Bombyx mori: one gene and its partner. The protein of the gene in region 2 purifies or fractionates together with the protein of the main gene of each other region. This does not show direct contact. Links are inferred from orthologs where the notes say so. Each region holds a gene or a part of one and is shown on either strand. Other genes may lie near its edges.

The links. Proteins that work in one complex are often made in the same cells at the same time.
Region 1: the proteins of F-box/LRR-repeat protein 4 (region 2) and BCL2/adenovirus E1B 19 kDa protein-interacting protein 3 purify together in Homo sapiens (affinity purification with western blotting; 4 studies listed by BioGRID, with this or other methods). This does not show direct contact. The link is inferred for Bombyx mori from reciprocal best matches to the Homo sapiens genes FBXL4 and BNIP3.

Annotation. Positions count from the first base shown.
Region 1 is NC_085117.1:571,644-575,402, forward strand, and holds the start of BCL2/adenovirus E1B 19 kDa protein-interacting protein 3, read left to right. Parts: upstream 1-1,080; 5' UTR 1,081-1,462; coding exon 1,463-1,502; exon of another isoform or gene 1,503-3,341; intron 3,342-3,414; exon of another isoform or gene 3,415-3,559; intron 3,560-3,759. UniProt on the Homo sapiens protein: Apoptosis-inducing protein that can overcome BCL2 suppression. May play a role in repartitioning calcium between the two major intracellular calcium stores in association with BCL2.
Region 2 is NC_085114.1:5,910,934-5,914,692, forward strand, and holds the start of F-box/LRR-repeat protein 4, read right to left. Parts: upstream 2,554-3,759; 5' UTR 2,434-2,553; coding exon 2,209-2,433; intron 669-2,208; coding exon 575-668; intron 1-574. UniProt on the Homo sapiens protein: Substrate-recognition component of the mitochondria-localized SCF-FBXL4 ubiquitin E3 ligase complex that plays a role in the restriction of mitophagy by controlling the degradation of BNIP3 and NIX mitophagy receptors.

The DNA of each region.
Region 1 (3,759 bases), on a different chromosome or scaffold from region 2:
TTCACACCATCGCAGCTACCACGCGATTTTTTTTCTTGAATCAAGGCATAAAATTTCTCGATTGACTTAACATATTTATACTTTGTTGATGACAAAATCTAATTATCCTTAAAGATTAAGGTCACCAATGACACATAGTTACACTATGACTTAATTCATTACGAGAAACGGATACGCGCTCTCGCTCTCTGCTGTTCTATCTCGAAGTAACCATTCAAACCAGCCTTGATCGACAGCTGTAAGCGCTTAAAGTTCAGAGCACATTAAATAAGGAATTCTTCGGTATTTTTATTTATTACATTGTCCCCGTTTTTATTAGACTAAACACGGTAGATAGTAAAACAAAACAATAAAACAATAAGATTAACTTGGAAACTATTTCTGGGTAGGTTTCACTTCTGGATTAAAAGTTATTTATTTCATTTTGTAAATATAGAAGTGTAAGGATAAATGAAAAAAAAATTTATCTTATCATGATTTACCTCCTGTTTTTACAACTTTAAGATCAAAATTCCAGCGCACTGAGTTTCACGCCAACTTTTTTTTTTATTGCTTAGATGGGGGACGAGCTCACAGCCCACCTGGTGTTAAGTGGTTACTGGAGCCCATAGACATCTACAACGTAAATGCGCCACCCACCTTGAGATAGCTTAGATGGGGGGACGAGCTCACAGCCCACCTGGTGTTAAGTGGTTACTGGAGCCCATAGACATCTACAACGTAAATGCGCCACCCACCTTGAGATATAAGTTCTAAAGTCTCAAGTATGTTACAGTTACAGCAGCTGCCCCACCCTTTAAACCAAAACGCAGTACTGCTTTAAGGCAGAAATAGGCAGGGTGGCGGTACCTACTCACACGGACTCACAAGAGGTCCTACCGCCAATTATTCTCTCAGTTCTCAGTGGATCGCGTTTCCGATCCAGTGGTAGATTTTGTGAAGCACTGCTCTTGCTAGGGCTAGTGTTAGCAAATTCGCCAGGTTAAAGCACCGCGAGCTCACCTAACTCGCCAGATGAATATGGTATGACCCCTCCAGGTTACTGGAATAGATAGGAAAAATAATAATCGATAATACTGAAAAAATCGAAGACATTAAATTTATTAGGTTCAACATATTATATACAAATGAAAATGAAATCATTCGAAAAACAACATTTTTTTAAATTGCACAATTTTGAAATAAAATCTGTTAAGGCGTCTGAAATCGAACTTTAATCGATTAACAAATTTAATCATATCGCATATCGTATCTGAACTGATTATGCCACACTATCCACAACTGTCAGTTCCAATCAAAACAACACAAAACACAAACAAAGAAGGTTGCATTCGGTGTTGATTCAGTCCGTTCTTTCTTTGTTTTCGCATTTTAAAAGCGAAGAAGCCCGGTTGAACACAGCGTATATTATTAAAAATACGTTTATAAGTAATTTTCTAGTACCACGACTTATTTCCGCGCGATGGCGTCGAGAAAACTGAACACAATCGAAGACTTGAGCGGTGAGTGTTGTAAATAAACATTGAGTATGTGGCGTCCAACTTTACAAACAGGTTTCTTTTACGTCTCATTTATTACATAAAACGCAATTTTTGGGAGTTTGCTTTTGTTTTTTTTTCTAACAGCTGTTGTTTTGATTTCGCGAAATGGCGTCATATAGCCTGTTGAACTGTCGAGGTCAGCAAAATCGAAAACACGCGATAGTGCGTCACAATCTGCGTACGTGATTCGTCTGATGTTAACCGGCTATATGAAAATACCATAATCCTAATGAAAAAGATATGGCTTAATCATATTCCTATTTAGTCAGCTTTTACCGTAACTAAAAATGCGTAGGTACCTCTTCACTTATATGGCTGCCTGGTACTTGCACTTTCGGAATGAGAAAGTTTCCTCAGAAAAAAAAACCAAAAGTGTGATTGATATATTAAAATCATCCTTTTCTAAAACATAACAAATTGGTAATTATTAGTAATGTAATTTTCTCAAGACAACCAGTGACTTTCAATTTAAAAATTAAAATCCAAAACCTGGGTATTAATAATAATTGTCTACCTAAAATTAAACTAAACATTATGCATTGTTTAACAACTGTGACGAAATTGTAAGAAAAGTGTCTTCACATGAATATATTTACAAAAATATTTCAATTCAATTTTCATAAAACATAATAGCCATTTTAATAAATAATAATATAACAAACAAATAATTCCATTGTTCCTACTGACTGGTTATTCTGTATTGGCTTAATTACATTTTAATTTAGTCAACTGTAGCTAAAGATTCAACCTCTTCACTTATATAGCTTCCTAGTACACATTCTTGTCGAATGTGAGGATTAAAAAAAAGCATATCGCTTTTTACATGCTTATAAAAAGCTGGACTGGTTTCATGAAACATTTGTCATTGGAGGCGGTCTTGAAAAAACCTGAACTTTTAGAGTAATTCTACCACTTCTATTTTGGTCTGTAGCGTCCGCATTAACTATTCAACTTCCTGATGAGTTATTTTCGTCATATGATTAAGCATCGGGTATGATACTTGTGTTCTAAAATATAATCTTTGTTTAAATCTTATACCGTAAAAATTCTGACCATTAAATTTGGTATTACCATTGTGTCTATATGTTCAAGACAATTAACTGGAAATTCTTTGTAAATTGACATCTCTGAACGGTGTCTATTCTGTTTGTGTCTTCGTCTATATTTTGCCCTTATTGAAACTAAAATAATAAAAATTTCATTTGATTTAGGCTTACAAAATAAATTACAAGGTTAATTTCCATTTGTATTTGTACTATACCTTTAAGAGAGAAATAAATAAATAATAATAATTATTATTATTATTTAATTTTTGACTGTCATAATTAAGAATTAAAGACTAAGAAAATATTCCAGTTTTCTCTATGAGACAAACGATGATAACCTCTAGTTTCCCCTAGTACTTTCTAGTAGAATATGTAAATGCTTGAATATTGCCATAAATAAATATAACAAACATATATTTTTCAATTTCTGAATCTATTAAAAATATTTGGAAATCTGAAAGAAAAAATTGCTTTCATTTCATGATAACTGAGAATTTTTTAAAGTTAAATTCCTCATGCCTAACATTTCGAATTTGAAGTTCAACATTATCACTGCTTATTTTATAAACGTCAATTTTTCATCTTATCTGAACGTATGTAGCCTTTGTCAGAAGCTAATCGTGTATAAATTGGCCACAATTGAAAACGACCGAGACGTTCCCATTGTAGATTTAAGAGCGTCAACCTCATAAAAAAACATAGAATAGTAAATTGTAGATGGATAGAAAATAACATTGAAGTATACCAATCAAGTCTGGTGAAGCGCACCACCACCCGAAGTGATGACCACGACCACTCTGCCAAGAATGCATGCGACTGAGAAATACCAATATGTGTGTGTTGCTGTGGCAGAAGATGTTCTGAATACCATGGACTACCATAGAACTAACAAGTACATCTCGATAGAGCTAAACATCTAAATAAATAATAGTTTAAAAAAACGAATAAAATAAGCTTTTATAGAAAAATCAACTAAAAAACAGAAAAGAAATTTTAATAAATTTGAGTTAAAAATAGTGTAAGAAAAAATGATTTTATTGTAAAAAAAGCGTGGGGTGCTTTTCAGGATATTATCAAAATAACCCTTCTATATTCATATTTGTTCATAAAATATTAATAAGTATTGATACCATGCACCACCTAGTGGGATAAGTTGGAGAAAAGTAAGTTGG
Region 2 (3,759 bases):
GTTGAAGGTCACCAAGCGCCTGCTGACTATGTGCCAGGAAAGGATCCGGAGTTTCTTTGGGCACATAATGCGATCCTCATTGCACAGCCTGGAGAAACTCACAATTCTCGGACAGATGGAGGGGAAGCGCGCTAGAGGAAGAGCGCCAGCTAGATGGGTTGACCAACTCAAGGAGGTGACTGGAGGCCAGATATGGGGAGCGGTACATATGGCGCAGAACCGGACCGAGTGGAGAAGATTGACATACAGTCACGATCCTCAGCATTGAGGGAACGAATAGAAAATATGAGCCAGTAAGAATATCTAGAAATTGTATTCCTAGTACACCCACGAATAGTTTCATCAATGTCGCCCTCTAAAAGATTTCAGATTATTATTCAATGTGGTCAATTCGTGCAACTACTGGTTTTATTAATTTCAATATTGCTAATTCTCACGATTATCAAATTTGTATGTGGTATATCGCGTTTTTATTGATATAGGAGTCATGATATAAAACCCATAATATTCAATAGCAGTTTACAATTATTTAATTATGATTGAAGTTTCTCATTTAATCATTGTTCATACATACCTACAAAGTCTTGACTTGTTATAGTGCTTGCATTCTGTGGCATGTAGTCTTCTTGTGCTGATGGAGCTTCATCCCACCAGGTGCCATAAGTCCTCTAGAATGTTTATGCTGAATTAGGTATTTTGAAATTTTTACACACTAAGTATATTTTTCATAATGTTATGTCTAAAGTAAGCAGAATCATATTAAGTCCCATTCAAAACTAATTTAAATGCATTATGCTATAGATCACAGGTTGTGAATGACTTAGAAACATACTCTCACACTGCGTAGGATGATTGAGTGTAAACAGAAAAAGGTTCATAATAGGATATTGCAGCTTACTTAAATAACAAGCTTGTCTTTCAGCCCATTCAATAAACAAAAGCATTTACAAGACCACCCCCTAAAATAAATCCTACCATGTTGAGTTATGACTCTATGGAACAAGTTTCTAGAAAAAGTTACTAAGACACCAACACTAAACTTTTTCAAGAATCAATTGGACAAATTTCAAATATCTAATCATTAAATCAAAGGCCTTAGCCAAAATGGCTAGCTTTTCTTTAAAAATTAAAATTTCTTATATAGGCAAAGGAAAACAGTTTATTAAGTTTACCTATGACTTTTGTATATTTAATTAATTTATTTAGAAACTATTGATGACTTTAGTGTCATCAATAAAATATATTGGAAACAGTTCTATTTTTCTTGCTTCAAACAAAAAATAGCCAGTAAAAAATGATTAGATTGTACTCTTATACCCACCTATGTAAAGCTCACCCTCTTTAAGAACAGTTAGCTGGTATATAATTCAATTGTTGAGTTAAGCTCGCCATTTTATAACTTTTTGCAATTATTTTATTGTATTAACTGTGTGTACAATACAGAATAAAGAAAAGAAAAACACAAAAAGAAAATGTTAGATATAAATTGAATCAAGTCTTGAGTTGTCATTTATTAAGATTTTTTTTTTTAATTGTTTAGATGGATGGACGAGCTCACAGCCCACCTGGTGTTAAGTGGTTACTGGAGCCCATAGACATCTACAATATAAATGCGCCACCCACCTTCAGATATAAGTTCCAAGGTCTCGGTAAAGATACAACGGCTGCCCCATCCTTCAAACCGAAACGCATTACTGCTTCACGGCAGAAATAGGCAGGGTGGTGGTACCTACCCGTGCGGACTCACAAGAGGTCCTACCACCAGTGTGGTATTTTGACCACCAATTAATATTAATTATTTCATGTCATATGTACCAATTTTTAGAATTGCATTGTTACTTTATGTGGTACAAGTTCACCAGTTTCTTGCAGAAAAACAAATGCGATTAATATGTTTTTTTTTTTTTTTCTGTAGATAAGTAAGTAAATTTACAAGTCGAAAATATTTAACTTTTAAAATGTCTCAGGATTCCAAATTATATGGCCATTTTCAACCACAGAGTGGAATTTAAATATTCTAATTTTGAGCAGCTAGTTCAAAAACATTTCCTCCAACCTATAAAATTAATTATTGGCTACCCCATTTTATTTTACGAATTTATGAAAAGTTAAGGTATACTAGTGCATAAGTTTATGGGCTTAAGGCAACATAATTTAAATTTAAATTGAGATTGAAAATTATTACTAGTAATTTTGTAATAAATTTACCATAACGAAGGCTTGAGGGTAATCTCCGTAGTCAGGAAAATTGGATGGTGGACCCCGGAGGTTGAAAGCTGTATATGAAACACTGATTTCACTTCCGTACTGAGAGCTAAAGTCTTCAACATTTTGCACAAATTGCTCTACAATTTGTTGTTCTGGGTCTTCTTCAATATCACTATTGTCTTTAAGCCAAAACAACGATGATATTACATCAGACGCACTCTGCATTTTCACTATTTTAATTAACGCAATTTACGGACAAAATATTAAGAACGATACAGTACACTGAACGACAGTCAACACAACAATGTTTTGATTTTTTATTTTGGTTTCTGTTTTGACGTTGACAATGGAAAAATTTTCACAGATCCAAAACAAAATCCACGGTAGTTAACTTTCTGTCAAATGATTCACTGTCATTATACATTGAAATCAAGCAATTTTTTTTCAAATTATGTACTAACGTACCTACTACATACATAATAATATTAAATAGTATTTTTTCTCGCTACTCTTTGGTATTTCTTTGTCAACCTACCTACTCAAAAGAAATAGATCTACATTTTTAAACGTAAGCATCATACTTCTACTAATCTCTGGTCAGCATACCTTTAAAATAATCTGTTTTTCATACAAGCATGGTCGCAAAAAGATACATTTGTATTATTTTAAGAAGTATTATGGTAAATAAGGATTTATTTTTAGTATGACGTCAGAGGCTGCGGTTGTAATGCTGGTTCGTTAGAGAGTGAATCAAAATGAACAAAGGAATAAATGTGGATCATACAACAAAATCGTTAGAATCCCAGGAATTTAAAAAACAAACACACTTTCACAAAATACCCCTAAAGGCTCAAAATGATCCATAATATCGCGGCTATTGCCGTTTATGGATATATTTAAATTCCAGTATTTGATACTTTAGAGTACGTATTTAATTTGAAAAAATTTTGAATATCAGTTTATTCTCATACATTTTTAGTAACATTATTGTACAGAAATCACAATTCAACTGTTGGTAATAATGTTTAATCAACTCAAATGCTCGGTTTTATTCCCCAACTATTAACTTTTCACACTTTTTCCCATATTTTATACTTTAGTGGAGCAATATTTATAATTTCCGAATTAATTTACCTTTTCTGAGAAGTATTGTTTAAAACTAATAGATTTTACAATTTCTTAAACACAAGCGATGTTATGTGTAGTGTACACGACCCGGTCTGTATGGCTGTTTCCGAGTCGTGTAATAATATTTTCTGCTGTCTGTTTGTGCGCTGGTAGAAGACTGCTGTTTCTTTCGATGGGTTTCGGCTTCTGTAGCGAGGTTTCACAGATAACTGTCTGGTTCACTGGTGGTAACTGTACTATCGGAGAACTGCTGGTAACTGTTTCTGTCTTGCTGATGTTTCTTTGTCGGAGAGCTTCTGAGAACTGTTTCTGTCTTGATGATCTGCTGAGAACTGTTTCTGTCTTGATGGTCTGTTGAGAACTGTTTCTGTCGAAGATCCACTGAGGACTGTTTTTGCCTATAAATGGCCATCCTTTTATATT